Oryzias latipes: one gene and its partners. The main gene of each other region encodes a partner of the protein of the gene in region 5 in a complex. Links are inferred from orthologs where the notes say so. Each region holds a gene or a part of one and is shown on either strand. Other genes may lie near its edges.

Region 1 (3,670 bases), on a different chromosome or scaffold from region 5:
AGGAATAGCAAACATCTTTGAGGAGAAAAAAAAAATGTAGGGAGATTATTCTCTTTCTAAAAACAATGCTGCTCCATCTTAATAAAAAACTAAATACCCACAAAAGGTTGCCTCTTCATAACTGTACTCGCCCTCAATGTGTACTGACTCAGTTCCATTATAATGTTCTAAATTTTCAGACAGGGGAAGAAAAACCTTCAACGTATTTGAAAGATAAAACCAGCCTTTACAGAAAAAAGTACACAGAAAAAAACATGTCAACTGCTACAATAAAATAAATTATTAGTTAATTAATACAACAACAGGGAACAAATAACAGGCCCAAATTCTTGTTTTTCTTTTAGTTTTCAATGAATCAAATTGTTCTGGTTATTTTCTCCATCCTTTTTGCACAACAGTGTGCCAAAGCAGATGCTAAACATCTGTAACATGGTATTAAATACAATTACGGTAATCACAATGTAGCTTCAGCGGTGCAGATATGTCAACAAAACTTCAATTCTATACAGATAATGATTAATAAAACATTTATTTTGAAGCATTTTTTTTCTTTGCTACAGAGAAAATGTTAACTATAAATGAAACTATGAATTATTTTGAAGTAAAAGTAATTAATTTAAAAGAAAAGGGCAAAATCAAGACCCTTGAAAGATTTATTTTTAAGTTCAAGAGGTTCCTGATTCACATCGGTTTTAAAACATGGATACAACCATTAGTTTGTTTTTTTAATCTTTAAATTTGAGATTTTGATTTTACTTTAAAGGCTTGAAGCTGAGCGGTTGCAGTTATTGTACGTAGCCTGTAGAGGACAGTAAAGCCACAAAGATAAACTTACATGTGTTGTCTGTTTTAATGGATCATTACTTTAGATTTAAATTGCAGCAAATCCATTCTTATACTATAATTTGTTATGAAGCAAACTTATATTTTTTATGAGTCCACTCTGTAAAATCATAAAGACATTACAATTTTCTTTTAATTCAGACGTGAGATTTGTCATTTCACTTCCAGAAATCCAGGTTCTGCTTTCCAAATAAGAGATCTAACAGAATCTTATCTATGAGACTTAAACATCGGGTTTTCTTCACCGGTCAGCAGCAGATGACTTCGGGCCTGCGGGATACACATTTGCATTACATACACAGTCTTTTCATTACAAAATAAATAAATAAATAATGAGGTAAAAGAATGACTAACCTTCAAGATCTCATTCTTTTTGTATGCAATGTTCCTAATGGCAGATTTTCTTCTGTCCAAATTTTCCTACAGACAAAACTTTTTGTCAGTTATCCTTTTTCTAAAGATATGGCAAAAGTGAGTTTTAAAGCAGAGAACACAGGAGTGTGAAACATTACCTCACTTTTGTTTGCAATTTCACTGAGAACATTGTGGTCCATGTTTGGGTCTGAGAGAACAGTGAAGAGCTGAGTCTGTGACCTTGCCAGACTGTCCGTCAGGTCCTGCAGCTTCCTCCTGAGCTGTGCGCTCCTCAAACCCACTTTTTCACGGGTTCTCTCAATATTTGGAGTCACTGAATTGTACAACTTTGCCTTTTCCAGTTGAAGCTGTGTGAATCAACATGGGATTAAGAAAAAACAAATAGAATATTAATATTTTCTCGACTTCAAAACAATGAATCGTGTGAAGTGGGATTTTTATCTTTCACCCCGTTGAATTTTTGTTCTAGTGCTTCATTTTCTAATTTCAGGTCCTCAACGGTCTTTGTTTCAGGAATTTTGATAGATTGCTGTGAAGAAAAGTAATAAAGTGACACATTACACTTTTTATTTGAGTTTTTATGTACATTAATTTGAATACACTTCAATAAGTCACACTGATATTTAAAAAACAGAAGTATCAACATAACAATAACCTTATTTTTCAAGTGGAAATCTGCTTTCTTCTTAATGTTGGTCTTCTGAACTTTGGGGATATCATAAACTTGAATTTCCTTCTCTTGTAAAATTTTGTTCTAGGAGGTGCAAAGAAAACATGCAGTGATTACTAAAGTATAAAACTATTTCATTTTTGTCCTGAACACATTTGTTTTATATATCTATTTTAAAATAAAACCTACCTGGATTTCATTTATTATCTCTCTATTCTGCTCCATTAAAATATTGACTTCCTGAATGCTGTTGAAGACTTCCCTCATTTCCTCTTGGAAAGCCACAATGTGGGTGTCTCGTTCCAGTTCACAATTCATGACCAAACTTGTTTCAGTATTTTCCAACTCTTCTTGGAACAGCTTAAGACATTCTTCATATTTTGCAGCGGTTTCTGCACAGATAATGTCAAAAATGGGACTTTTGAGTTCATTTCTAAAAAACACAATTGTCTTAAATTCAGCTAAGAGTTTAGTTTCATTTACCTGTGACTTGCTGCTCCCAGTTGCTCCTTGTTTTAGTAACCTCATCCTGTAACTGAAGATAAAAATTAATCACAAATTTGTGTAAAACGCCTCTTAGAGGTATTCTGGGAGTCCCTTGTGTGTAGTATGTAATGCTCATCATTTCCTGACAAAATGTTCGTGTCAAATACCGTATGTGGGTGTTGTTTTGAATGGTGCTGCCAACATGTAAAGTAAAACAGCTTGACAGTTAGAAGAACTCTAAATAGAGTTAATAGGTCTGTTTTATAGGACTAGATGTTACAGTGGTGGACAAAATTGTTGGTACCGCTCAGTTAAAGAAAGAAAGTCCACAATGCTCACTGAAATGACTTGAAACGTTCAAAAGTAATAATAAATTAAAATTTCTTGAAAATTTATTTCATATTTTGTTGCACAACCTTTTGAGGCAATCACTGCAATTAAACGGTTTCTGTATTTGTCAATGAGCCTTCTGAACCTGTCCACAGGTATTTTGGCCCACTCCTCATGAGCAAACTGCTCCAGTTGTCTCAGGTTTGATGGGTGTCTTCTCCAAATGGCATGTTTCAGCTCCTTCCACAGATGTTCAATGGGATCCAGACCTGGGCTCATAGAAGGCCACTTCAGAATCGTCCAACGCTTTTCTCTTAGCCATTCTTGGGTGTTTTTGGCTGTGTGTTTTGGATCGTTGTCCTGTTGGAAGACCCATGACCTGCGGCTGAGACCAGGCTTTCTGACCCTAGGCAGCACATTTCTATCCAGAATGCCTTGATGATCTTGAGATTTCATTTTACCTTGTACAACTTCAAGACACCCTGTGCCAGATGCAGCAAAGCAGCCCAAGAACAGAACTGAGCCTCCTCCATGTTTCACAGTAGGGACAGTGTTCTTTTGGTTGTTTGGTTCATTTTTGAGTCTACGAACATAGAGCTGATGTTTCTTACCAAAAAGCTCCAGTTTTGTCTCATATGTCCAAAGGACATCATTTCAGAAGCTTTGTGGCCTGTCAACATGCATTTTTGCAAATTCCAGTCTGGCTTTTTTATGATTTCCTTTCAACAGTGGTGTCCTCCTTGATCGTCTCCCACGAAGTCCACTCTGGCTCAAACAACGACGAATGGTGTGATCTGACACTGATGTACCTTGATCTAGGAGTTCACCTTTAATGTCTTTGGAGGTTGTTCTGGGCTCTTTGGATACAGTTCCAACTATCCGTCTCCTCAATTTGTCATCAATTTTCCTCTTCGGTCACGTCCAGGGAGGTTGGCTACTGTCCCGTGGGTCTTAAACTTCTGAATA
Region 2 (3,514 bases), on a different chromosome or scaffold from region 5:
GATCTTTTTTTCCAATCATTAAATGTGTTGTTGCATTTGGTTTGATTAACTCTATGAACATGTGTGATGTGTGAACAGATAGAGGACATTGTGGCCTGCAGGGAGCAGGAGCAGAATCAGGTGAAGCTGAGGAAGAGGATTAAAGAAGCTGTCCCGACATGCGAAGACGAGGAGCAGAGGGTAGAGGTAAGATCTTAAGCCCGAGCCCGAGTCAGAACGAATTTCGGGCCGGGTCGGGGACTAAAATGACAATCATTACGTTCGGGTTGGGTCGGGCCGGGCTTCTCTCTCGCTGCCTTTTTTAATAAATATATGTTTATAAAAATGTATACTAAAACGATGTGTGGATACTAAACTAAGGAATACTTGTCATAAATAAATAATCTGGTTAAAACAGAGAAGGCGCTGTAAGGTAATTGCTATATAACTACTACTAAACAGGAAGCGCGGCTGCAGTATTTCTCCGCGTAATGAAGCGAGTGCGCATCAAGATCTCTCTTTCATTCTCTTTGTCTGGCCTCTTATTCTGTGGTCCGGCGTTATTTCGTTGTCCAGATGCATTTATCATGATCATAAAAATATGTAGATTATTTTAACCTTAAGAAATCTTGCGTTTTTTTCTGCCAAAAATACTGTGGGATAAATTAAAATTTCAGGTTTGCTTGGGGCTCGGGCCTGCAAATAAGTTAATTGGTCGGGTTCGGGCTGGGTTGGGCTTTAATGCCTGTGTCGGGTCGGGCTGGATTATTTAGGCCCAATCTTACCTCTAGCAGAGGGTGAAACATTAACACACACACCAATACACACCGAGTATAATGACACAATCATATTATCTGTTTCTTCTCTTGACCTTGAAGGATGAAAACTCGCTGGAAAGCTGGAAGGTTTTGATCAGCAAGAACCTGGACGCAGAGGAGGCCAATAGGCTGTATCACAGCCTCCTGGAGGAGTTCAAAGACAAAATGGTGGCACAAGCCAACCTCCTCCAGGAGCGTTATGAGAAGGTGGATTGTTGGACGCGGTTTCTCACTTTAATGTTTATTTATGATTATTTTGTAAACTCCATAAATCATTAACTCCGTCTTTCTAGGCTCTGGTGATGGGGAAATCAACCAATGGTTCACACAGTTCTTCACTTCTAGCCATCATAAATGGAAACTAATAACTACTGCAGCTTCTGATGTACTTGAACCTTCATATAGTGTAAACTGTTACGTCATATAATTTGTTGTAAAGTTTGGAATATTGATTAACACGAAAGCCCACCTGGGCTGCTGGGATGTGGCAGCGACTTATAAACTTCAATCAAATATCTTCTGCTCTGATTGCAGACCACTTATGTTAGTTTGAAGATCCAGACTTAAGGCTTGCTTATACGTAAACTGTAGATTGGGGCCCAGTACTTACATGGTCACATTTGGGTTATAGGACACACGGGAGTTGCATGCAAAACAGAACCAGTACCGGCGAAACCACCTCACAATGACTGAAAAGCAGCTGGAAGAATACCAATGCTTCTGCTCAGAAAAAACAACACAGATAAAAGCCACTCAGATTCGCCTCAACAGGTACACACCCACACACACACAGGTACACACACACACACGCACACAATGGACGGACTAAAAGTTCCTACAGTCACCTCAACTGCAGTTAGATTAGGATGTTAGTTCAAATTCATTTGATGTGCTACAACATTTACATGCTGATATCTCTGTTGAAATTAAATGATTCTTCTTTATTAATTTATTGTACTTCTTGAACTCTCATATTTCTGAATTTGAGGCTGCAGATATTCTCATTTTTGTATCGTGAAAATGAATGATGAAGTTTGGATTTGGAATACATTCTTTATGTTGAGTTATCATGACTCTGATTCCAACTTCAGTTTTTGCAATACCACATGGCACTAGGGGTGCTAAATAAACTCATCACCCTCTCCTTCCCTCTCACTCATGGTGCAGAAAGAATTAAACAAATCCGTCCAGACAGGTAAAGGGAATGGTATCCCACAATTCCTTGCGCTGCCGATCTAACAGCAGCACCAAAGTTACACCTACTTAATATAACTAATTTGAATGAAAGTAAAATAAATGTCTTAAAACTGTGTTATTTTTAAGCTGACTGAACTCAAAAAATGATTTATCTTAACTGAAGCAAATAATTAAGTTTATCTTTCCAACATCCATACATGGTCTTATCAGCCCCTCATGGTGGAAAAAGTATTATCTGAGCTTCTTCATCCACTAAATCATCTTCAAATGGACACGCCATGCTGCTTCACCTCTCTAAAAAACAAACTAACCTTAAACTAAACCTGCTCCAGACCAGGTTATGTTCAGAGCATGAGTTGCTAGGGGAACTTGACATACCCTGAAACATACCTCCATTTCTGGAACCGAAAGCGGTGGTTGTACACTTCTTTAGCCTCAAACTTACCGTGGGAGCTAGCATAACCTGCTTTTTGGAATACCCCCCTGGTCTGCACATAACGCTCGGAAAGGAAGGCAGAGTGGCACAAACAATACTTTGCGCTGAGCTTCACTCAGTGCAGAGCTTAAGTATGCTGTGGTTGATGAATGAGAGTCAGGTGTGAGGCATCCAGGAAGTGTGCGCTGGGGGGTTGTAGTGTCAATAGAACTCCGGGATCAGCTCCCGCTGGTGACCAGAGGGGAAGAACAAACTCATCCTTCTGACAGCCTGTGAGTGAAGTAGTCGCAGGCGGGCTACTTTTTCATGACGGACAAAAGTTACATGTAGTGCCTTGTAGCAAATAATCCATCTATCTATCCATCTGAGTTTTTGTGCCACGAGAAAAAGAAATTCTGGAGGATAAATTTTTTTGTTTCTTACTTACAGGAAAAAAAAGTCAAAATGTCGAAAATAAAGTCTAAATAAAGTTTTGAGAAAAAAGTTGAAATGTTGAGATTAAAGTCGAAACGAGGAAAACACACCCAAGTTGTCTGTTTATCGGAGCCTTGCTTGAAGATGAAAGATGAGAGGGACTCAAAATCAGATAATTGTCTGTGCAGCCGTCTTTCCGGGGTTCGGTGTTGGTAAAGTAAAGTAAAGTGTCATCAGTAAAATAAGGAGCTCAGAGACACGTTTAGGGGAAGAGGACCGCTATTTTATTTTCCTTTTCATTCACATACCCAGAAGTCCATTTGTCATGAACCTGTCATGCGCAGATCAGCATGTGTAAAAACTGTTATATACGTCCCTTCCCCCACATGAAACGTCCCGTTTCAACATAAAACAACAAAGATGAATGAAAATAGTCTGTTACATTAGCAGAACGTTGAAATTGCCAAAAACTGCTCCTCCTCAGACGGAAGCGTCACACAGACTTAGAGGTCTTGTCTTTGGAGGAAGAATGGATAGAAGTAGACAGCTGCAGGGACACCGATGTCTTCATCAACGGCTGCAGAGATCCTGCAAACCACCCATCAATAAAGAAAACATTAATAAAACCGTTAACCAAACAATAGTAAACATTCAGCTTACCTGTTCAATT
Region 3 (3,946 bases), on a different chromosome or scaffold from region 5:
AATCCTGCTATTCCCAGTTGGGATCACGGGAGCCTACCCAGCTTTGACACAGGATAATTGAATCTTCAATTATCCTGTGAAGCATGTTTTTGGACTTTGGGAGGAAGCTGGAGTGCCCAGGGAAACAAAGCAATCACCAGGGGAACATGCAAACTTTACCAGGGCCTTAAGGAAGTTTTACCATTAATTTTCTTTCCTTTACTGTGGCTGCAGGTAAAGCTGAAGAAAGTTATGTGCAGTCATCAGACAAAGACGTGAGACTGTCATTCCCCTTAGTGGACGGAGATCGTGAACTATGGGTCTTGGCGATACAGTGAAACTGGGTGTCCTCTCACCTCAAACGCCTGACGCAAATGCTCTTCAGGAATGGGAGGAAACCTAACAAACAGAATTAAAAATAAAGATTATTTTTCCCGTTTACAAATAGAGCTTTGCACAATTTTCCAAAGTAAACAGGAGGTCCCAGTTAGTCTCAGAATGTAATGGCATGGCAACTATAGTGTAATGAAGATCTTTTTGAGGCAGAGTCATTGACCATGCAATGCTGAATGCTGAGGAGTGATAATGAGGGGATCAGTTGCTCTCAGATAAAGGTGTCAAACTCCAAGTTGCTCATGCAATACAACACCACATACAATGAAAAGTGGGTTCAAATGTTGAATTTATTCAACCCAACAGCACAAGAAGATGTTTCCAAATCTCGTATTGAAGGAGATCACATATTTTTTTGTTTACAGTGTTTTTAGTAAAGTCTGAACCGCCTTGCCATTGGGTCTCTCTAGTACATTATCTGCAGCATGCTAGGTGATAAATGACAGTTTTATTTATCATCATAAAAAAATTGTGTCAGCTGTACAGAAAGGCTAACATGAGTGTGTTTTTCCACTGTTTTTTCTTTTCTGAAGCAGACAAAAAAAGTTGAATGAATTTAAAATGTGACTGGAAAATAATGTAGAAAGCAGAACTTTCTTACTTGTTCTCCATTATTACTTTGGTCATGACTGGTAGGAACTTGTCCAAGTGAACATATCCCATATTGTCCTCCTCCACCTGTGTGAACAGAATTTTGTGACAAAAGTTCTGAAAGATGTTACAAAACAAGAGAGTTAATCAGAGTTAATCAAATGTAATTATAACAAATTTATATGTATTTTTTAAATGTTCTGAATGTGGTGTTTTACATCTGTGAAGATTTTTCAATCATAAATGTTATGGCAGGATGACACAGTTCTTCAGGGTAACTGGACTTTTAAGGTTTATCCGGAAGACATTTCTGCCAGTAGATTCTTCAGTTCTAACTATTGTTAAAGAATTGAATGCTATTTATATGCTGACTATTTTGAAGGTGTGGCAAAATGTGGCTTTAAAATATATTACAACAATCTATATGAGGCAAAATTAAACTGCAGGGGGGGCCCTGGGCACATAAGTGTGTGAGGCCCTTTCAACAGTCATTTAAATGTTTTATCTTTCGTTTTTACATCTTTTTTATATAAAATAAATTACACTACTGAAGTCATTGTACCAACCGTGGCAATACAGCAAATAAGCCTGAAATCAAGGCCTGACTGACTAAAAGAGTGAGAAGTTGCGCAAATAGACGGTCCGTGCTTTTCATCAATGCTTATTTTTATTTATTTTTGTGATTCTCTTGGACTGCTGCTGCGCAATGATCAACATGCGCAAAGCGCGTAAAACAAGGATTCGGCACGCACTAAAGTTTTTAGGTTAAAACAATGCAACAGAGAATAAAGAATTGATACAAAAGCGGCTGAATCAAAAAAAAATTAGCTCTTAAGTTGATTCTGCGGGTCAACATATATTTTCTGTAAAATCAGCGATACGACGTTACAGTCAGACCACGCGACACCTAATCATCCTATATTTGCTGCTCCAATGATGGCCAAACGCTCCTGAATGAGGAGGTACAAGAAGGGGGTGAAGGCTCCAGCTGTCCAGATATGGACAGAAACAGATGGAGAGAAAAAAAAGCGCACGGAGAGATGCGCAAAAAAAAAAAAAAGAAAAGAAATTTCAAAGTAAAAGTTTGTTGTACTTGTAGGAAGGTCTAGAAGAAGCAAATGGCACACTATTTTGCCCGCCTGCGAGGAGGGCGGAACTTACTGACCTCATCCACGAAGCGATGGATGTCTGCTTTGGTGGGGAAACATCCCAGCGAATAGATGATGGTGCTGACCTCACTGCAAAACAACATTTTCGGAGTGGGCGCTGAGTTACTCTTGACTTGTTTGAGTTAATGAAATAAGTTTGGGATCTTTAAAGCTCACCGGACGTCCACGGTGTTGTCAGCTTTGTGGTCAAACACGTGAAAGGCTGCGCGGATTTTCCTCTGGATTTCTGATAACCAAAGCACAAATAGACTGTATTCATCTAATTTATATATTGAAAAAAATAAATGAATTGTAATAACAAAAACTAAACAAATTTTAAACCAGTAAAGAAACTCTGACTGACCTGCTGTTTCACCGGCTTCCGCCATGTCTGCCTGGTGTTGTCGTGTTGCTTAGCAACCGAGTGACACCCTACTTAATATTCTTTTACCAACAAAAAAAATGTACTGTTTCCTTAATAACCTAATTAATTCTGAGACACTTAATGACCTATAATGATATCTGTTTGCATATTGGATAAATAATTTTTCCAACTCATCAAGTCTAAAACTTTATCTGAAAAAGCTTACAGTGGGGCAAAAAAGTATTTAGTCAGTCACCAATGGTGCCAAAGTTTTACTACTTAAAAAGATGAGAAAGGCCTGTACTTGTCATTATACCTCAACTATGAGAGACATAATAAGAAAACAATTCCAGGAAATCACAGCGTCTGACTTTTAAAGAACTTTTTTCTCAAATTATGGTGGAAAATAAGAATTTGGTCACCTACAAACAGGCAAGATTTCTGGCTCTCATAGACCTGGAACTTCTTCTGTAAGAGGATCCTCTGTCTGCCACTCGTCACCTTAATTACTGGCACCTGTTTGATGGTTGTCTGAAAATGTATGCTTGTCTATAGAAAATACACCAGTACACAACCTTAAGCTGTCTAAGGACACCAGAAACAAAAATGTTGACCTGCACCAGGCTGGGAAGACTGAATCCGCTAAAGGTAAGCAGCTTGCTGTGAAGAAATCAACTGTGGGAGCAATTATTAGGAAATGGAAGACATACAAGACCACTGATAATCTACCTCCCTCTGGGGCTCCCTGGAAGATGTTCTCCCCCCGTGGGGTCGGAATGATCACAATGAGCAAAAATACACAACCACACAACCACACAATTAGACCTAGTGAATGACGTGCAGAGAGCTGGGACTAAAGTAACAAAGACTACATCTGTAACACACTACGCCGCCAGGGACTCAAATCCTGCAGTCCCAGACATATCCCCTTGCTAAAGACAGTACATGTTTGCTAGAGAGAATTAAGATGATAAGATTATTCAGAAGAGGACTGGGAGAATGTCCTATGGTCAGATGAAATAAATAAAACTTTTTGGTAAGATCGATACTCGTCGTGTTTGGAGGAGAAAGAATACTGAGTTGCATCCAAAGAACACCGTACCTGCTGTAAAGCATGGGGGTGGAAACCTCATGATTTGGGGCTGTTTCTCAGCAAAGGTACTGCTGATCCGTGTAAAGGAAAATTTTAATGAGGCCATGCATTGTCAGATTTTGAGTGAAAACCTCCTTCCATAAACAAAGGCAATGAAGATGAAACATGGCTGGGTCTTTCAGGATGACAACGACTCCAAACATACTGCCTGGGTAACAAAAGAATGACTTTTTAAGAAGCATTTCAAGGTCCTGGAGTGGCCTTGCCAGTCTCCAGATCTCAACCTCATAGAAATTCTTTGGAGGGAGTTGAAAGTCTGTTTTGCCCAGCGACAGCCCCAAAACATCCCGGCTCTAGAGGAGATCTGCATGGAGGAAC
Region 4 (4,005 bases), on a different chromosome or scaffold from region 5:
CCTTTCGTTGTGTTTTTAACTGTGACATCTGGTTGGCCCAAAGCAGCTTGTTGATGAGGAAAGATCTCTGATCATCAACTTGGGTCAGGTGGACGTCACATTCTTTTATAGTGGAGTTCTGTGACAACGCAGCCACCAAAGCCTCACCTCCAACCTGCAGACATGGGGTTAGAATACAAAAATATAAAACATAAGAAGACTAAAATTCACCTTTTGGTCATTTTTTCAGCTTAGTAAGTTTTAAAACTCGTCAACAGAACTTGTTTTTCTTTAAGCTGGAGTGGACCGAGGTCAGAAGTATTGATGGTTTCATTTCTGCTGTGTGAATGATTTTTGATCCACCAGATCACTTCAGTCACAGATACCACGAACTGTGGCAGCAGAGCTGCAGGGGATAGTTGTAAATCTATTTTTATGGGGGGAAAAAAACCCACTTCCTACTCTTTCCATTACTGCCTGTGTTCTGCAGACATCGATAAATAATTGAGAATCCTTGCAGCAACCCTGACTGTGTCAACAAAGGGAGCAGCAGAGTTTTGGGATGAACAAATTGAATCGTTTAGTTCAAAAGGGGTCCAAGTCCACAATTTTTCATAATAGAGATATTATATGTTCTACGGGCTTCAAAGAAAAAGTTATCTGAATTTTGTGCAAAAAAGTCCCAAGTCTGTTGTAATGTATGCTTGACATTTAAAATGCATTAAGTGCAAAATTCCTGGACTTGGGCCTCTCCTGCATGGGTTTTGTTTTATCCCATAGATGGCAGCACTAGTTATCCAATATGGCAGCGCCCCTGTTTAATTCAAGAAGAGCCAAAGTCCAGAGACTTTAGTTTGCTAGTCTTCTGAAATTATAAAAGTGAGGTGCTTCATATTATAGCATTTGAAGCTATGAACTGGTGCTTAATCTGGGTAAAATGTTAATCATTTGGTGTAGCCCCCCTTTAAGATATGCAATTCAAATCATTTCCTGGAAAAACAAACCTCTTGGACTTGGGCCCCTTTTGAACTAACCGATTCATTTATGTTCCAGTTAAAAGAAACAAACGTGGACATGTCCTTACCTCACAGAGCTGGTTGCAGGACAGATTAAGGCTTTGCAGAGTTGTATTCTCTGTGAGCACTTTAGACACAGCCTCAGCAGTGACTGAAGTCAGATAATTTCCTCCCAGGTTCAGATTGTGTAGAGTTGTGTTGTTCAGCAAAGCTTCGGCAATGGCCTGACCCCCTTCATCCTTTATCATATTCAGAAGCAGATTAAGGGACTCAAGAGTGCAGTTCTTAGATAAGGCCAGAGCTATGGCTTTGGCCCCCTGGCAGCTAATAAGGTTGTTGCACAAGTTAAGAGTCTGCAGTTTATTCCTGGTGAGCAGCTTGCTGATGGCCCTGGCTCCAACGTCTCCAATCTTGTTGTGACAAAAGTCGAGTTCTTCCAGGGAAGGGTGGTCCATGAGGTGTTTCACCAGCAGCTGACACTTTCTGTCATCCATGTGGCTTTGGTGGAGCCTGAAAAGCTTAATATTGAGGATAAATGACGACGGAATACAGAGGGAAACTTTTAGAGCCATCAAAATAAAAGCTTTAAAGTTAAGGATAAAAAGGATAATGACCAGATTTAAAGGATTAACACATTAAATCATTCAACTACGCAACAAGTTCATTCCAACAAACCTTTAAGATAGTAAAATTTGTAAAACACAAAGAATAACTGATACCTTCAGTGTCTTACAGGACTGAAGAGCCTTGGCGAGGGTCTCACAGTCTCTGTATGTCATCTCAAACATATTCCATGCAAAGTTCATGCCACATTGTTTGATTCTATAAACCAGGTGGAGCTCTTCCAGGTTTGTCAGCCTCTGAAGCAGGATGTTAAAGTCAAAGTGGTCCATGGGAGGCACATACCTCTTCCAATGAAAGTCATGATCATTCTCCTTGCTCTTCTTCTGAGGCTCCACGACAGGAACCAGGAGCTGTGAGATGTCCAGACGCTTGACGTATTTTTCACAAACTGATACGACATCAAGAACGGTCTGCGGGTCGGTTACATTTGGGATGAAAAGTTCAATGATCTTCTCCAAGTGCTTCTCCAAAAACATTCGTTTCCAGCTGTGGCCGTGAACAGAGACATCACAGAAGGCCAACTTCTGCTGGCAACAGCGCCTCCAGTAGGGCCCCTCAGGGAGCACGCTGGCTGTGACTTGGACAGGAAGGGAAAGGGACAGTCTCTCCTGCAGGAACTCCTTCTGGGCAGCTGTGAGCATCTCAAATATTGGGTTTCCTGTAACAAAGAGGAACTGTGCAGTCAAGTGGCTCCACTTTTTGCAAAAACCGAAGCTGCAGGAAAATTATACATACTTTCAAAGTTGTTCACAATGATTTGCAGGCAGAGAATGGATAAACTGGGCACTGTGGTGATAGACCAGTCTGGATCTTCAGCAATGATCCTCCTCCTCATGTTTATCTTTTATTTTTGTAGCTTTCAAACTGTCTCATACAAATCCTGTTAACAAACAATAAACATTTAAGAAGTAAACATCTTGGAAACTGGAGAAAGTAGCTAGCTAACGCTAAATAAATGGTCTATTGAATACTTCAGTTCAAAGAAGTAATTTGCGTAAATATGTCAAAAAGTATATTGACAAAAACCGCAAAGAATTATCTGAAGTGCATTTCAGTAAGATTAAAAAGATATTTAATCAAAAAGAAGACAAATAAACTCACGTTTACGAACGTAAACAAAGCCCCCCGTGTCCTGTTATGGAAACTTCCAGTCGTTGCCATGGAAATCGAATCATTCGTGTGTAGTTTGAGGCTTCAAGGAAATCTTAGCTTCAGCGTCACTAACTACAAACATAAAAATAATTCCCGTCGCTACTTTAAAATTATCAAGCAATTTACACAAAACATACCTTAAACGAGTCTATTAGCTGAAGATAATGAGAGTAGACTGAGATCATTCGAACTAGACTCACAACATTCGTTGTTATGGGATTTAAAAGTCGAATATGAACACCACAAACTAAAAGAAAAAGAACAACTCCGCCATACTTGAGGGTTCTCAAACCTCTGACGCGAGAACAGTAACTTCAAGTACTGCTGCTACAAGTGCTTTTAGCGTTATTGTTTTTCCTTTAAAATACACCAATTATTTTCTAATTCATTAATGGATTTAATTGATAAATATAGATTCACTTAAATATGTCAATTATACTTTGCACGGAATTGGCTCTTGGTTGATTAAAAATGTTTAAATATAATTCTGAAAGTTTTGAATTATTTTATATAATGTATTTTTGCTCAGAAAGAATAATTGCATAATCATTGTGCATCATTTTGTGTTCTTCAAACTGATGGCATGTTGTTTGGACTAAAACAGGTATGAAATATATAATAATAATAAAATATAAAAATGATCAAATATCAAATGTTGCCATTTAAATAAAAAAACAGCTACAACATTTATTCAGTTTTGAATGTTACACAAAATGATTTTAACTTTGTTTTAATCGTAAGAAGCACTTTAAATAATATAAATTGCATATGTATAGGAAAAAATATGTATTAACACATTATGTTCATATGAATCAAGTCGTGCACAAATTGATTAAATTTCAAATAATTACTGAATTCAGTTTTTATTTATAGATGTAATAAAACTAAAATAAATAAATTATGTACATAAATGAATCCTTAGTCATTTGAAAAGCAAAAACTGGTAATATTGACAATAGGGAGGGCTTGCATTAGGCCAAAATGAGATGATCTCAGAGAAAAGCACAGACTAATAAACTACCAGATGGGCCTTGGAAATGGATCATGTGCCTTTTGGATGAGAAATCACTTGAGTGAATCCATCTGTCATGTAAACAACAACATGAAGCAGGTGCTTAGCTCCATTTCAGGCGGGGAAAAATGCATACATGCTGAGTTTGTTCATAGAAAATACAGCTTTTTTTCTCATAAGAATTATTTATACACATAAACAAAGTTGGCAAAAAATGTTTTT
Region 5 (4,031 bases):
TTTCTTGAGCAATTTCAATGAAGTCTGTGACCTTGTCTGAGATGCAGGTTTCAACGTTTCTGATGTTCTCCTGAAAATATAGAGTTATCAAAGTAAAATGAATAATTTGGAGATACATTAATAAAATCTACAACCAAAATCAAACAAAGTGTGAAGAGAACAGATTTGCAGAACGATATTTTTGACGAAAACTGATTAAAATAGAAGTTTTGGAACATCGACTTTTGAACTTAAGTTAAAGAACTTAAAGACAAGAATACAAGTTATGCTAAAATGGTGAAGTGGCAATGATGAAACCCAACACCTTACCTTGCTTGTTACATTATGTTCGATTGACAAAACAGTGTTGTTCAATGTTAAGCAATTTTATTAATTTTGAGATTATATTGCCAAATACTGAGTGGTTGCCAATCTTTAGGATTATATTACATCCGTGTGCAGAAAGACTTAAAAAAGAAAGGGGAATCCTTTTCACTTAATGTATTAGGAAGCTGACAAAAACAGAAAGATAGACATATGATTAATTGATTAATAGACTAAAGTAAAAAGCATGTATAAACCATTTCAAAAGTTGCAGACAGAGACACTTTTGGAGTGCATTTTCTTTTGGATCGTCTATGTTCTTAAAAATGACAAATTACTCACACGTGAGAACAATCAAATGCATAAGTACAAACAGAAGTACCTCCAGCTTGCTGATAAGCTTAAACTCCAGTGTCATCAGCCTTTCAGAGAGTTTGTTGATTTCATCATAGCCACGGCTGAGTTCCTCGGAAACTGAGTTTCGGAGGGTTAATTGCTCCAACTTTTTAATCCTCTAAAGGATGACAAAAGAAAATATTGATTAGTTGTACCATATTCTTTTTTACTGAAGAACACTTTTTTTTTCATTTTACAAAGCAGTTCCTGTTCTCTTGCCTCTTTGTGCTGCCTATTAAAATCCTCCAGAACTTGAATTGCTTGGTTTTTGTAGTGCGTCTCTACCTCATCCTGGGAACTGGAGAATGACTTCAGCTCTCTTTCCCTCTGTTCACGCTCTGCCAAACCTCTGTCAAACAACTGCTTACACAGCCCCACCATTTGGTTTTCAAATGTAAAGCACAGAGTTAAGGAGGTCAATGACGGAACTGCTCAGGCTGTTCAACAAGCTGTGATCAATCTGAGTGTTAGAAAATCGGAACAAAGGATATGACTGAAGGAGATCCTCTATTCCTGGAACAGAACGTCTGTCTGATGAGAACGTATCTTCATCAAACATGCTTTTAAACAAATGTGGCCCATCGAGGTACTCAACAAAGGCCTCCTATGAAAGAGAAGAGCACACTTTAGACAGCAGGAAAAAATCACGGCATCTGATAATCAGCATTAACAAACTGAAAAAGCGTGTTTGTACTTTGTGTAAATTCAGTTCAGCTTCTTGTTTTTGCAGAACTTCTTCAGCTAGTTGCTTTTGACTCTCCTCTTGATTCCTTTTCTCGATGTCATCTTGGTATTTGCTGGATGCCTTTTCTTTCTGCATGCATAGACATAAATGGTTTACCTCAAAGCATTTTACACAGAAAAAATCACATAAAAAATACAGTTTTAATATAGGTTTCATGCTTCTGTGTCATAACTTACCAGCTCCTGGAGAATCAATTTGTTGTCCAAGACTGTCAAGTTTGGAAAAAAAGCAACAATAAAAAACTGGTAATCGTCCTCGTTGGAGAAGAGATTTCCCTTCATGTAAATGTGGACCAATTTCTTAAACCTCTTTAGGTACAAAACCTGGGAAATGCACAAGGTTTTACAAGGTTTTAAAAGTAAATCTTTAAAAAGCCACACACAATGTTAAACTATGTTTGTAGCACTAAAAATAAAAATTTATTGTACGAAAATAAATGTTCTTACATTTTCCAGCTGGTTTAGGAGGTTACATCCAATGAAGAAATGAGTGAGGTTGTCAAGTGTGTCCATGTTCTCTATGACGGTGATTTGGTTGTTTGACAAATTCAGGACCTTGAGTTTCTGCAGAGATGTCAGACCCTGGATTTTCTCGATCCGGTTAAATGACAGATCTGTAACACAGCAAGTCTGATGGTCATTCATGCTGTTATTTTATATGTCTTTCAAAGTCATGTGATATTCCTGGCAAGGATAAAACGCCTTTTACTTAGCCATGTCAAATTAATAAGAGAATCCAGGCCCTGGATCTTCTTAATGAGGTTATTGTTTAGGTCAAGCCGAACCAAGGAGGTATATTCTTGCAACGAGTCAATCCTTTGGATATCTGCAAAACAAATTACCCCCATGTAAATAAAATACTTATTTCTGCATTTGTTAAGGGTTAACTTTATTACTCTCATTACTTTGGTATTCCAGTTTAATGACATCAGCTTCAGGGAGACAAATGTTGTCCTCTTTGGACATTAAATCAGATTTGATGCTGTTTTTCTCTATTGCATTCTGGATCATCTCCCTGTTCATCCTGTTGGGTACTGGATCCATGTTGCTGTTTCTGGTGTTGAAAGCTATCAAAGTTCAATTTACAACATGTCTGAAACAGATAAATATTCCATCTGAAAAGTGTAAACACGTGGATTTTACTGACAAACAACACTTTCAATTAAAAAGACTGAGTTAAAACACGCAGAGTGAACACAGACGCACTACAAGATGCAAACTAAGCAGATAATAAACTAAAAAACTCACCTCTTACAAAAATTAATGGGATTTTCCAACTCCAAATAGTTTGATAGAAGCTATACGTAACATGCGAGAGTAACACTTGCGTCTGTTTCTACGCTGTTACATAGCAACAGGTTGTTGCTGTTGATGCGTTCACGTGCCCAAGATTGACTCGGGGGAAAAAAGAACAATTAGACAATCTTTCGAACTTAACTTAGAAAGGTAAAACCAAAGCTCCGAATACCGTCTATTTATGGAGACGTCTATGTGATCTGAAATGGTTTATACAGAAAAAAAGTTTAATAAAAAATGATTTTTGCAGTGCATCTCTACTTTTAAACATGTCAAATTTCGTAACAATAAATAAATAAATAAATAAATAAACTTGTTAGACTGTACCATTAGAAATAAGGAAAAAGACAAATCTAAGCAGAGGGTCTTTTTGTTGATACTTTTGACAGACATTGACATCAACCAATTGCATATCAGGTATTGTAAGTTTTGACCAATAGGATTCGGTGGGCGGGTCTTGACTGTGCCTCCTATGGGCCTCAGCTTCTGTCCTCCCTAAGCGTTTTGGTTGTTGTCGAAATGGAGTTCTTACTTGGAAATCCTTATAGCACACCCGTGGGCCAATGCATAGGTATGTCCCTAAATTGTGTTACAGAGTTGAAAAGGTTTTTGTTTTAGTGCAGTATGAATTTCGAGAATTTGCACTAAGACTCTGAGGGGAAAAAAGGAGCTAGCTGGCATGTTCTAACGTCATCTACTTAGCTAAGCTCATGTTAACAACAAACTAACCGAACTTAGTGCATTACACTGTAACAGTAAAAAACACTGTAATCACAACTCATCACTGTAATTGACAGTGATAACTTGTGATGCTAAGTCGTTCACATAGCATCTGATGTGTTATGATATTATAACGCTTTGAAACGAACAAAACAACGTTAAAATCATAAAGATTGTGTTGACAGACAGGGCGTGTTGTCTTTTTCATTTTTGTCTTTACACCTTCTTCATGGACATTAAATGAAAAATATATGCGGCGTAGCGTATTTATGTAATCCTGTAGCATCTATTTTATTAGGTATTTCATTTCCAGTAGTAAGTAAGTGGACTCAGTTAAAATGAATGTGATTTTTCATTTAGTCTTGGTGCAAACAAAGACAGTTTTCAGTACTACAATGTGTGTTTGGCTCAATTCCATAAATAAAAAAAGGATTTTTGGATGCATGATGATCATGCAAATATCATTGAAATCTGGTAAATCACAGTCTGGAGGAATGATGCACATCTACACAGTACAACAGCTTTACACCTCTGCTTCTGCTGACATTTTAGCCATAGTCTTTGCAATATCT

Evidence for each region.
Region 1: drc3 (region 5) and growth arrest-specific protein 8 share a complex: the UniProt entries of both Homo sapiens proteins name them as parts of the nexin-dynein regulatory complex. The link is inferred for Oryzias latipes from reciprocal best matches to the Homo sapiens genes DRC3 and DRC4.
Region 2: drc3 (region 5) and drc7 share a complex: the UniProt entries of both Homo sapiens proteins name them as parts of the nexin-dynein regulatory complex. The link is inferred for Oryzias latipes from reciprocal best matches to the Homo sapiens genes DRC3 and DRC7.
Region 3: drc3 (region 5) and efcab2 share a complex: the UniProt entries of both Homo sapiens proteins name them as parts of the nexin-dynein regulatory complex. The link is inferred for Oryzias latipes from reciprocal best matches to the Homo sapiens genes DRC3 and DRC8.
Region 4: drc3 (region 5) and tcte1 share a complex: the UniProt entries of both Homo sapiens proteins name them as parts of the nexin-dynein regulatory complex. The link is inferred for Oryzias latipes from reciprocal best matches to the Homo sapiens genes DRC3 and DRC5.

The regions. Positions count from the first base shown.
Region 1 is NC_019861.2:21,837,621-21,841,290, reverse strand, and holds the end of growth arrest-specific protein 8, read right to left. Parts: intron 2,424-3,670; coding exon 2,372-2,423; intron 2,281-2,371; coding exon 2,078-2,280; intron 1,973-2,077; coding exon 1,874-1,972; intron 1,748-1,873; coding exon 1,667-1,747; intron 1,566-1,666; coding exon 1,356-1,565; intron 1,264-1,355; coding exon 1,198-1,263; intron 1,114-1,197; coding exon 1,054-1,113; 3' UTR 511-1,053; downstream 1-510. UniProt on the Homo sapiens protein: Component of the nexin-dynein regulatory complex (N-DRC), a key regulator of ciliary/flagellar motility which maintains the alignment and integrity of the distal axoneme and regulates microtubule sliding in motile axonemes.
Region 2 is NC_019865.2:28,540,716-28,544,229, forward strand, and holds part of drc7 (dynein regulatory complex subunit 7), read left to right. Parts: intron 1-78; coding exon 79-186; intron 187-857; coding exon 858-1,004; intron 1,005-1,428; coding exon 1,429-1,568; intron 1,569-3,514. UniProt on the Homo sapiens protein: Component of the nexin-dynein regulatory complex (N-DRC) a key regulator of ciliary/flagellar motility which maintains the alignment and integrity of the distal axoneme and regulates microtubule sliding in motile axonemes.
Region 3 is NC_019861.2:24,641,698-24,645,643, reverse strand, and holds the start of efcab2 (EF-hand calcium-binding domain-containing protein 2), read right to left. Parts: upstream 2,813-3,946; 5' UTR 2,501-2,812; coding exon 2,476-2,500; intron 2,359-2,475; coding exon 2,289-2,358; intron 2,202-2,288; coding exon 2,129-2,201; intron 1,051-2,128; coding exon 974-1,050; intron 379-973; coding exon 336-378; intron 1-335. UniProt on the Homo sapiens protein: Component of the nexin-dynein regulatory complex (N-DRC), a key regulator of ciliary/flagellar motility which maintains the alignment and integrity of the distal axoneme and regulates microtubule sliding in motile axonemes.
Region 4 is NC_019882.2:5,921,377-5,925,381, forward strand, and holds the start of tcte1 (T-complex-associated testis-expressed protein 1), read right to left. Parts: upstream 2,809-4,005; 5' UTR 2,721-2,808; intron 2,571-2,720; exon of another isoform or gene 2,500-2,570; 5' UTR 2,455-2,499; coding exon 2,355-2,454; intron 2,278-2,354; coding exon 1,715-2,277; intron 1,514-1,714; coding exon 1,064-1,513; intron 155-1,063; coding exon 1-154. UniProt on the Homo sapiens protein: Component of the nexin-dynein regulatory complex (N-DRC) a key regulator of ciliary/flagellar motility which maintains the alignment and integrity of the distal axoneme and regulates microtubule sliding in motile axonemes.
Region 5 is NC_019866.2:12,376,649-12,380,679, forward strand, and holds the start of drc3 (dynein regulatory complex subunit 3), read right to left. Parts: upstream 2,811-4,031; 5' UTR 2,692-2,810; intron 2,559-2,691; exon of another isoform or gene 2,537-2,558; 5' UTR 2,488-2,536; coding exon 2,349-2,487; intron 2,270-2,348; coding exon 2,153-2,269; intron 2,058-2,152; coding exon 1,891-2,057; intron 1,768-1,890; coding exon 1,621-1,767; intron 1,514-1,620; coding exon 1,394-1,513; intron 1,304-1,393; coding exon 1,191-1,303; intron 1,094-1,190; coding exon 919-1,093; intron 818-918; coding exon 686-817; intron 71-685; coding exon 1-70. Other genes in the region: tom1l2 (TOM1-like protein 2), read left to right, coding at 3,259-3,310. UniProt on the Homo sapiens protein: Component of the nexin-dynein regulatory complex (N-DRC) a key regulator of ciliary/flagellar motility which maintains the alignment and integrity of the distal axoneme and regulates microtubule sliding in motile axonemes.